3 linked regions of the Callithrix jacchus genome follow. The protein of the gene in region 3 binds, or shares a complex with, the protein of the main gene of each other region. Links are inferred from orthologs where the notes say so. Each region holds a gene or a part of one and is shown on either strand. Other genes may lie near its edges.

The links.
Region 1: NHP2 (region 3) and TERT share a complex: the UniProt entries of both Homo sapiens proteins name them as parts of the telomerase holoenzyme complex. The link is inferred for Callithrix jacchus from reciprocal best matches to the Homo sapiens genes NHP2 and TERT.
Region 2: NHP2 (region 3) and GAR1 share a complex: the UniProt entries of both Homo sapiens proteins name them as parts of the H/ACA small nucleolar ribonucleoprotein (H/ACA snoRNP) complex. The link is inferred for Callithrix jacchus from reciprocal best matches to the Homo sapiens genes NHP2 and GAR1.

The regions. Positions count from the first base shown.
Region 1 is NC_133503.1:204,825,559-204,829,208, forward strand, and holds part of TERT (telomerase reverse transcriptase), read left to right. Parts: exon of another isoform or gene 1-156; intron 157-182; coding exon 183-309; intron 310-1,188; coding exon 1,189-1,250; intron 1,251-3,650. UniProt on the Homo sapiens protein: Telomerase is a ribonucleoprotein enzyme essential for the replication of chromosome termini in most eukaryotes. Active in progenitor and cancer cells. Inactive, or very low activity, in normal somatic cells.
Region 2 is NC_133504.1:87,424,342-87,427,706, reverse strand, and holds the end of GAR1 (H/ACA ribonucleoprotein complex subunit 1), read left to right. Parts: intron 1-561; coding exon 562-703; intron 704-2,086; coding exon 2,087-2,158; intron 2,159-2,547; coding exon 2,548-2,561; 3' UTR 2,562-2,865; downstream 2,866-3,365. UniProt on the Homo sapiens protein: Required for ribosome biogenesis and telomere maintenance. Part of the H/ACA small nucleolar ribonucleoprotein (H/ACA snoRNP) complex, which catalyzes pseudouridylation of rRNA.
Region 3 is NC_133503.1:70,651,634-70,655,901, forward strand, and holds the start of NHP2 (H/ACA ribonucleoprotein complex subunit 2), read left to right. Parts: upstream 1-1,371; 5' UTR 1,372-1,438; coding exon 1,439-1,598; intron 1,599-1,690; coding exon 1,691-1,760; intron 1,761-4,268. UniProt on the Homo sapiens protein: Required for ribosome biogenesis and telomere maintenance. Part of the H/ACA small nucleolar ribonucleoprotein (H/ACA snoRNP) complex, which catalyzes pseudouridylation of rRNA.

The sequences.
Region 1 (3,650 bases), about 130 Mb from region 3:
GGTCCAGATGGGGGTGTAGCAAGTTGCATCTGTGGAGTGGGCACCCAGCCCCCTTGGGCTGCAGTGCACGCCTCAGGCAGGACAAGGAGCGGGAGGAGGAAGGGAGGCTCTTCCCATCAAACTTTGCGAGAGGGGCATGGTGTGGGTTGGGACCTGTGTCTGACATCCCCACTTTGTCTCAGCTATGCCCGGACCTCCATCAGAGCCAGTCTCACCTTCAACCGCAGCTTCAAGGCCGGGAGGAGCATGCGTCGCAAACTCTTTGGGGTCTTGCGGCTGAAGTGTCACAGCCTTTTTCTGGATTTGCAGGTGAGCAGACTGACAGCACAGAGTTCAGAGTTCAGGAGGTGTGTGTGTAACTGCACAAGTGTATGCGCATGCGTGTGGCATGCCTGCAAGTCTGAAGGTGAAAGTGTGGCTGCACATGCGTGCACCTGTGCACATGAGTGTGTGTACATGAATGCATGACAGTGTGTGTACAGGTGTCCAGGGGTGCAGGTGTGAGCATGCATATGCGTACCTGATGTGTGTGTGTGTATGTGTAGCGTGCCTGCAAGGCTGAAGGTGAAGGTGTGGCTGCACATGAGTGCACATATGCACGTGTGCGTGTGTGTGCATGAATGCATGGCGGCATGTGCACAGGTGTGCGAGGTTGCAGGTGTCAGTATGCACATGTGAATGCATGCCTGACGTGTGCATGTGCAGTCGTGTGCATTCATGTGAGGTGCATGTGGGTGTGCAGTAGCAGGCATGCACATATGTGTATCGAGGGCCCCTCATGTTCACCCTGCTTGGTCCTCAGTACCAGCACCCCTCCTGAGACAGGGTCCCAGGTCCTGCTGGGCTGAGGCTCCGAAGCTGCGGCGCTGAGGGCATGGTCCCATCTGGGCGTTTGCATCCACTCCCTCCCTCCTGGTTCCTTCCCGTCCTGGCCGATCTTCGGGCAGGCAGACGCCAGAGTTCTGACCACACACGCTCTACCCCCCCACCCCTACCCTGTGGCTTCCCCTCAGCATGGTTCACAGCTGCCTGGTGAGGGCCAGGCCAGATTTCATCAGGAAGAGTGATGGTTTCTTATCACAGTGATCCCCTTTCTTATTCCATTTGAATGGATGATAAAGCAAGAAGTAAGAACTTAAAATTCCAGAGAGGTTTCTGCCGTTTCTCGCTGTTTCTTGGTGACTCTAGGTGAACAGCCTCCAGACGGTGTGTGCCAACGTCTACAAGACCTTCCTGCTGCAGGCTTACCGGTGAGCCACCAGGGGGCGCGGGCCCAACCTCCAGAGACCCTCCCCACTCTGCTCACCTCTGACGGGTGGGGTAAGGAGTATCTTACCTTTTCAGCAGTGCTGCCTCCTCAGCCTGGTTCTATGTCCGCACGGCTTTGTGTGAAGTGCCCATTCGGTCTCCAAGTAGCGGTAGGAGCTGACGTGGCCCCAGGTGTCCCTCCTGTGCCTGTGCACTGCCCATGGGACCTCATGGAGGCCATCTAGGCAGCAGGGGCATGGGGTAAAGAGACATTAAAGGGGTATCATAGAGGAGGCCCGGAACGCCCCACGTGGGGCCTGGGGTAGTCACTCGATGAGGGCAGCCCTGAGAAGACCGAGGTATGATGGGCCACGGCTGCTTCGAAACACAGAGTCAGGCACGTGGGAGGCCCAGGAACCCTGTTCCTTCGACACAGGAGTGGGAGAACGGAGAGCTGGGCTCCTATTTCACAGCAGTGAGGCTGTGGCAGTCCGGGTGGTGCCACGGACAGCTGACTCAAATCTGCTGGGCTCAGCCTTTTCAGCCATGCCGGCTGCACCCCCACACAGGCCGGGGATGGATGCCTCAACCTCTAGCAGGAGGCGGTTGTTTCTCCCTTTGGAAGAGAGCCCCTGGCCATGCAAGGTATTTCCCTCCTAGGTCAGGAGCGTGGCCCTGTGCTGACCCCAGACCTCGGGTAAAAGCATTCTGGGCCTGGCTTCTCTCATTGCTATGTGGGGAGACTTCCCAGCTCAGTAGAGTTACTGAGAGGCTGAGACCAGAGTGCTGGTTTGACTGGTATGATCTCAGGTTATTCCAAAAGGGGCTCAGGCAGTGAGACCAGGTACGCAGGTGCCCTGATCACACATATGAGCACCTGTGCATGGGTGTCCTGATCGCATGTATGAACACCTGTGACAGGTGTCCTGATCACACACGTATGAACACATGCACAGGTGTCCTGATCACATGCACGTATGAACACCTGTACATGGATGTCCTGATCACACATGTATGAACATGTGCATGGATGTCCTGATCACACATATGGACACACATGTCATCACACACGTATGACATGCGCAGGTTCCCTAATCACAGGCATGTATGAACACATGCACGGGTGCCCTGATCACACCCACGTAGAACACGTGCACGGGTGTCCTGATCACACGCATGTATGAACACCTGTGCACAGGCACCCTGATAACATGCACATATAAACACATGTGCATGGGTGCCCTGATCACATGCACGTATGAGCACGTGCACAGGTGTCCTGATCATACACACATCTGAACACATGCGCGGGTGTCCCGGTCACACGCATGTATGAACACGTGCACAGGCACCCTGGTCACACACATATGAACACGTGCACAGGCATCCTGGTCACACACGTATGAACATGTGCACAGGCACCCTGGTCACACGTATGAACACGTGCACAGGCACCCTGATCACACACATGTATGAGCTCATGCACAGGCACCGAGATCACACATAAGAGCACCTTGCCTGGGTGTCCTGGTCACACGTACGTATGAACATATGCACACACATGTATGAGCACATGTGCACTTGCGCTGTCTGTCGATGCAGTCCTGCCCCGAAGTCCCAGGAAGCTGAGAGGCCAAAGAAGGAGCTGGCAGGCCCAGTGCAGCAGCTCACACTGGTAGTCCCAACACTTTGGGAGGCCAAGGCAAGAGGATGCCTTGAGACCAGCCTGGGCAACGTAGGACCCCATCTCTGTGACAAATCGAAATAAAAGCTGGCTGAGTGTGGTGCTGTGCACCTGTAGTTCCAACTACTTGGGAGGCTGAAGTGGGAGGATTGCTTGAGTCCAGGAGGTAGAGGTGGCAGTGACCTGAGATGACACCACAGTATTCTAGCCTGAGTGACAGAGTGAGACCCTGTCTCAGCAACAACAAAAAAGACTGACAAATGCAGTTTCTTGGAAAAAGACGTGGTAGGGACTTCACCTACACACAGAAGCCAAGTCTGAGTTCCAGTGGCCGTCAGATGAGGTGCTGGATCCCTGCACTGTCAGCCCAGACCCAGGGCCGACGCAGCACTGAGGCGGGCAGCTCAGCAGGGAGGCACAGGTCATTGATTGCGATGACATTGAGGTTGTGTGACTGAGGGCAGGTGTACAGCGAGTTCCTGCTGGTACACAAGAAACTTGATAAACTGGAAGTCTTAGAGGCCTTCCCAGAACAGGGCTTAATCAGAAGCATGGGGGGTTGGCATCCAGCATGGAGCTGATTCAGCCTCCACGTGTGTGTGCATTCATACAGATGGCACACAGAAACGTGCAGTGTACTTGTGCGTGCACTTGGACATGCTGGTACCTGCACACACACACCTCTGCACATGTGTACCGCTGTGCCCATGCCCACACC
Region 2 (3,365 bases), on a different chromosome or scaffold from region 3:
TGTGTGCCAAATTGCAAGTGCCTTATATAGGTCACTTTTGATCATCACACAAACATGTGAGCTAGTTATGTATTCTCTACATTTTACAGATAAAAAAACTAAGGCAAACTGACACAGAAACAGAAAACCAAACACTGCATGTTCTCATTCATAAGTGGGAGTTGAACGATGAGAACACATGGACACATGGTGGGGAACATCACACACCCGGGCATGTTGGGGGGTGGGGGGCAAGGAGAGGGAGAGCACTGGGACAAATACCCAATGCATGCGGGCTTAAAACCTCGATGACAAGTGATAGGTGGAGCAAACCACCATGGCACATGTATACCTATGTAACAAACCTGCACATTCTGCACGTATATCCCAGAACTTAAAATTTAAAAAAAAAGATAAAAGAAAACTAAGGTAGTAAGAAATTAAGTGCTTACCCAGAGATACATTGTGGAAAGAATTAAATTGCAAAACGGAACCCAGTCAGTTTTGACTCTATCATGTAGCTTCTGAATTATTATACTGTCCCCCAAGTCATCACACTAATTGCTTCTATTATGTTTCCAGTTTTATATAGACCCATATAAGCTGCTGCCACTGCAGAGGTTTTTACCTCGACCTCCAGGTGAGAAAGGACCTCCAAGAGGTGGTGGCAGGGGAGGCCGAGGAGGAGGACGAGGAGGAGGTGGCAGAGGTGGTGGCAGAGGTGGTAAGTTACTTGGGGAAAATTTCTGTTGAGATTTTAGAGTCACAGCTAAATTCATATAGTACAATTTAGTTTTGAACATAGCAAACCTCCCTTATGGTAAAGCTGCTTTCAAATATTGACAGATTGTCCATAATAATAATGCTTCATTTCAACAACTTAAACAGAAAAAAAAAAATCTACTGTAGTATACTTTTGAGGGACTTTATTTCTTTGGGTTATTCATGTTTTCTTGGGCATTTTAATAAACCATAAAATCATCTTAATTTTATTATCATTGAGTATAGACTGCATGCTGAAAGCTGGTCATACCTTCTTTTAATTTCTTTGTATATTCTTCTAATCTCAGTGAAACCTTTTGAGATAGATGATATTTTTGTTTTATGAATGAGGAAAACGGAGACTTACAGAAATTAATTTGCCCCCATCAAACAATTGGCAGACCCAGAATTAAAATGCATATCTTCTGATGTCATGTCAAGAACTATTACTAATAAGTTCATTGCTGTGATCTCACTGTTTCCCCAAGGTTTTGGCACATTCATCATTAATTGGCAGCTAGGTGATGAGCAGGGCTCTGGGGAGTGGGGCTGCCATGTCCTGTGAGTAGGGGGAGGGCCAAAGTGGAAAGGGGGAGGAGCTGAAAGTTGGGCTTTTGTTATTGGATCAGAAAAAGAGAAGGAACGATTCGCTTTTGCGTCTCTCAATTTAATCATCATTTCACTCCATAAATGTACTTGTTTGGGTCCATATAGGTAGCAAGGAATATCTTTAAAAAATATCAACATATTTCTCCAATATTTTCAGGGGTACCTTCTTGAGAATTTGATGAATAGAGATTCCCCTATTCTCATTTGAGTATCATTTAACATTTCAAAAAATTCACAACTATCTTATTTTTAAAAAATCTTACCTATGTAGCTCAATTAGCCTTAACTATCATATTTATTATCATGCCCCCAGAGCAAAAGCACCCATAGGTGCCACCCTTTGTTCTTAGGATAAAAAGCCTTCATTCCATCAAACTATCCTTCGTTGAATCAAAAAGTCTTTATCATAAGCAAGAACTAAGGTGATAATTGTACATTTAACAAGACTGAATTATACTTTAAAGTAGCAGGTTTTCTAATTTATTGAAATGGAATACTTGTTTAAAAGGAATCTAGGGTTTTAGCCTGTTGCCAAGTTGGTAAACTACAGTCCCTCCATTTTTATCTTCTAAAATTTTTTCCATGATAAAATATGTGAATATTCATTGTAATTATAGTTATTGTATTGATGTTTGTAGGCTTATCAGCATAAGAGGTTATATAGTTAATAACTGTTCATGTTTATTATTTATATTATTTAAATATTTTGCATTATTATTTAATACATGTTTTTTAGGTGGTTTTAGAGGTGGAAGAGGAGGTGGAGGTGGGGGCTTCCGAGGAGGAAGAGGGGGAGGTGGTTTCAGAGGTGAGTATCTTAAAAAGTCTTTAAATTGCTTGATTTTTAGAATTGATACTAAACAGGCATTTTCTGTTTTTGTTTCAGTTTATTTTTCTCTGCTAGCAAGTATGTAGCACACCGTGATGTTCTTTGCTTAGCCTAATTTGTGGCTTTATTTTATATCACTTTTTGTTTTGCCTTTTCCTTTCAATTTTTTTCACCTAATTCTAATTTGGTTTTGCTTAATTATTAATTTAAAAAATGAAAGTGTAATATGAATGACAGTTAAATTGGGTAAAATATGTTTGCTAAACATTATAGAAACTAATGCTGATTTTAAACTTGAGTTTTAGGTTATAATACTATTAAGAAATCCATTTTCTGTGCCCTTAATACTTCAATTTTCTCTTAATTAGGGAGAGGACATTAAGTGAAATGGTTGACAGACATCACCAGTTGACTTCTGCATAAACCTGTGTCATCTGTTTCTACTGTGGATTGGAAACTTGTTTCTTGAGCAAGTCTTGAAGATCTTGGTCGTTTTATGACAATGGATCTAAAATGTCAGCATTATGCCAAGTACAACGGAATAGTGAATTTTGCTCTAAAAGAGCATGAACAAATCTTTTTAATGTTTTGTATAGTGCCTGGCACTCTGTGGGTGCTTAATAAATGGACAGGAGTTTTCATTTGAAGCATATTTGAATTTTTAAAATAAAGTGTTTATTCCCTTATTTAGAGTGTGTTTATTAAAGAAACCCATTTTTTGAAGTAGAAAGGAACAACTAAAGCTTAAACCCAGTGAATTGCAGATTAAAAAAAGGTTTCTTTTCAATCCTTTTTGATTCTATTTGATCTTTGAAAAAATAGGCTACTAGAGCAGTACTTTATTTACAAATTAATACCCCCTTTCAAAACCCTGGCCTTTTACATATGAGAACATAGCTCTGTGTTTCCCTTTTGTGTTTTAATACATAAATCCGTTAAGCTGTTTCTCTAATTGCATTTAATTATTGATTTAAAAATTTTCCATATTAGCAATGTATTGAAGGTGGAGTAGCTCTGTTTAAGTGAAAACTGTAGTTCAAGAAATTTCTAAAGAAACGGTCAATTTTTCTCAGCCAACATAAATGGAATATTAAAGGTTTTATTGAATGTTATTTCACTTTTACTTTTTTAAAGGGACTCTAAAAGTTTAAGGTGTTATTTACTATACGTGAATATCGATTGCATA
Region 3 (4,268 bases):
AATTTTTATTAAAGATGGGGTTTTATCATGTTGGCCAGGCTGGTCTCGAACTCCTGACATCAAGAGATCTGCCCTCCTCGACCTCCCAAAGTGCTGAGATTACAGGCATGAGCCACTGGCTCCTCGTAAAAACCTATTTTGTTTTTATTTAATGCAAAATAAACAAAATTTATTGCACCTTTGCTCCAGTGTTAAAAGTTTTTTTTGTTTGTTTTTAAGATACAGGATTTTCTTCTGTGGCCCAGACTGCCAGTGCCTATTCACAGGTGCAGTCATGGCTCACTGCAGCCTCTAACTCCTGGGCTCAAGCTAACCCCATCTCAGCCTCCTGAGTAGCTGGGACCACTGGCACGTGTCATCACACTGGGGAAAGGCCAATTTTTAAGTTAGTTTAACTGACCTTACTCCCACAGCCACCAGAACACTTCTAAGTTTCTATTTACTGGCTTATTCTAGCAATATAAAAATGGCAGGCCTGCCACATCAGGATCAAAGGTAATTAGTATTACAAGTTAGTCATTTGTAGCAATTATCTAATTAATATCCATCCAGAGTTCCAAAACACAGTGGAAGAGGCTTAACAGAGATACCAAGATCCACTAGATCTCGGCCTGCCACCGCCTCCCACTCCCTGGAGGCTCTGTCCCTTAGCCTTCTACCCACCAGCGGGTGGCTCTTCACAGCTCTCCCCGAGCCCGCCAGGGACCTCAGTCCCCAAAGTCTTCCCTCAGCTGTTCCTGGCTTCAATCCAGTCGTCCTCCCCTTAGCGTCGTCTGACTTCTCAGCTAGGCCCTCAGCGTTTGCAGCGTCAGGCAGAGGTAAGAACTGCGGGGAAAGTGGCGGGTGAAAGGATGCTGGTGGGGGAGGGAGGGGACTGCAATTTTAGATAAAAACGGGGAAACCTCTCCCATGGAAAACACTGGAGCAGAACCCTGAGGGAAGAGAGCGAGCCACGCCCTATCTGGAGAAAAATGGTGCAGACGCACGCAGGTTAGTGGGGTGAGCCCTTGCTCTGTATCTTTCACACCTGCGCATCGGGGTCCAAGGGACGGAAAAGAAAGAAAGAAAATTATGCAAGAAAGGAAGCACCCTTTCCAGCGCCGCCCCGGGCCCCGGCCGCGCCCCCGCCCCCGCCCCCTTAGGCCCTGCTTCCCCCAGGGCCCCGCCCCTTGCCTCACATTCCCTCGGCTCCGCCCTTATTCGCCCCGCCCCGCTCCTTGGTCGGGGGCGGCCCCGCCCCTACGATCGCGACTCCGCCCCTCTCCGCTCCGTAGTTTCGAAGCTGATCATCAACGATAGGACTGAGTCGGAGACCTCGTTTCCTGATTGGCCGTGTTGCACGGCGGCTTCTCGTGCAGCTGGTAGCCCGGAAGTAATGCCTAAAGCTGCGGACCGCGTGGTCTAGCCTCTTTGGGACTAGGTTTCCGCGGCCGCTGCGATGACCAAAATAAAGGCAGATCCCGACCGGCCCGAGGGTCAGGCGGAGGCATGCTCCGGGGAGCGCACCTACCAAGAGCTGCTGGTCAACCAAAACCCCATCGCGCAGCCCCTGGCTTCTCGTCGCCTCACGCGGAAGCTCTACAAATGCATCAAGAAAGGTGAGGCGAGAGCCGAGGTGGCCCGGGTGGGGGCGCGGGTGGGGGCGCGGGTGGCGTGGAGAGGCCCCCGACCTACTCTTCTGTCGTTGCAGCCGTGAAGCAGAAGCAGATTCGGCGCGGGGTGAAAGAGGTTCAGAAATTTGTCAACAAAGGAGAAAAAGGGTAAGAACCCTCTTTCCTCTAGATTTTGCATTTCTAAACGCTAACTGAGAAATCTCTACGTGGTAGGTGCGCAGTAAAATGTTGACTCTGACCTAGCCCCATATACAGAAGCCAGTTAAGCAGTCAGTAAAGTCCCTTTAGTACAATACCGACACGAGCTTAAAGTGAATTCCAGGGTGAAGCGAACTGTGTAAGCCAAGTTCCTTAGACCCAGCTTCACTCATTCAGGGATCCTACTCCCCAGTCTCCGCTCCTTGCCTCAGATTGCCTCGAGCCCTCGCCCTAATCCGCTCAGCCTTGAATCTGTCCTAGGGGTGGCCCCTCTCTAACTCTGTATTTAAGGGGCTGAGTATTAATGTTTTTGTTTGTTTTTGAGACAGGGTCTCTCACCTAGGCAGGAGTGCAGTGGCGCAATCACAGCTCACTGCAGCCTTGTCCTCCTGGGCTCAAGCGATCCTCCCACCTCAGCCTCCCGAGTACCTGGGACCACAGGCTTGCGCCACTACGCCTGGCTAATTGTTGTTTTGCAGAGACAGAGGAGTCTCGTCATGTTGCTCAGGCTTGTCTTGAACTCCTGGGCTCAAGAGATCTTCCTGCCTCAGCCTCAAGAAGCACTGGGATTACAGACATGAGCCACCACACCTGGTAACCTTAACGATTGAGTGTGTACTCTTTTTCAGGCACTGTGCTATGGGAGAAACAGTAACATTCATTGATCAGATAATCACACACACAAATAATTAAACGTTGTGATAGCCATGAAGGAAAATAACAGAATGCAATGAGAATTGTTTCATTACCCCACTTTTCTTAATGGCATTTATCAAAATTTGAAGCTTCTTTACATTTTTCTTCCCTGTATCATCCTCTCAGGCCAAATGGTAAGCTCCAGAACAGGGCCTTTCCTTGCTTTATCCCAAGAAGTGAAACTGAAGGTGCACAAGAGATCAATAATGTTGGGCAGACTTGATGCTTAATGGTGTCTAACCTAGTTGGGAGGGCACATCAGGGGAAGTTTCTCTCAGTAGTCCCATTTGAGCTGAGATCTTAAGACACAGGGATGGCGGCCGGGCGCGGTGGCTCAAGCCTGTAATCCCAGCACTTTGGGAGGCCGAGGTGGGTGGATCACGAGGTCAAGAGATCAAGACCATCCTGGTCAACATGGTGAAACCCCGTCTCTACTGAAAATACAAAAAATTAGCAGGACATGGTGGCGCGTGCCTGTAATCCCAGCTACTCAGGAAGCTGAGGCAGGAGAATTGCCTGCACCCAGGAAGCGGAGGTTGCGGTGAGCCGAGATTGTGCCATTGCACTCCAGCCTGGGTAACAAGAGCGAAACTCCGTCTCAAAAAAAAAAAAAAAAAGACACAGCGATGGCCGGGTGCATGGCTCACGCCTGTTATTCAGTACTTTGGGAGGCCAAGGCGGGTGGATCACTTGAGGTCAGGAGTTTGAGACTAGCCTGGCCAACATGGTGAAACCCCAGCTCTACTAAACATACAAAAAAATTAGCCGGGCATGGTGGTGGGCTCCTTTAATCCCAGCTACTTAGGATGCTGAGGCAGGAGAAGTGCTTGAACCCAGGAGGCAGAGGTTGCAGTGAGCCAAGATTGTACCATTACACTCCAGCCTGGGCAACAAGAGCGAGATGCTGTCTAAAAAAAAAAAGAAAAAAAACACAGGGATTAATTTTGGAGTGGGATCGGAGGATCCTGCCAGAAGAAGGAGTGGGCCTCAGGGCAGGAAGGGGGATCTGGTGAACCCCCTTCTTAGGGGACCTTGTAGCCCACAGTAAATTTAGTTTTTGTATTCAGTGCTTTGGAAGCCATTGGGGGTTAAAGCCAGGAAGTGACATAATTTTTATTATTTTTTACACCCAAAAATTTCCGACAATTGATGAAAGGATTAGAGAGGTAAGAGTAGGTTTGGGAATGTTCAGATAGTAGACCACCGTAGTGCTGGAGAGGTGATGGTGGAGACAGAGTTAAAGGAAATAGATTTGAGAGGACTTTTAGATGTGGAGAATGAGAAGGTATTGATGACTTCTAGGTTCTGACAGGCCCAGCTGGAGGGACAGAGGGCCCCGTCTGAGATGTGAACAGTGGAGGGGGACTAGAAAGATCACAAGTTGGCCAAATGTCGTGGCTCATGCCTGTAATCCCAGCACTTTGGGAGTCCGAGGTGGGTAGATCAGGAGGTCAGCAGATTGAGACCATTCTGGCCAACATGGTGAAACCCTGTCTCTACTAAAAATACAAAAATTAGCCGGTGTGGTGGCGTGCACCTGTAGTCCCAGCTACATGGGAGACTGAGGCAGGACAGTCACTTGAACCCAGGATGTGGAGGCTGCAGTGAGCTGAGATCGTGCCACTGCATTCTGGCTTGGTGACAGAGACTCCATCTCAAAAATAAACATCACAGGTTTGGTTTTTGATAAGTTTTGGAGGTACTTTAGAGACACATGACTTCCTCCCCTCTCCCCACCAGGAGAACTGTTAAATAGGCAGA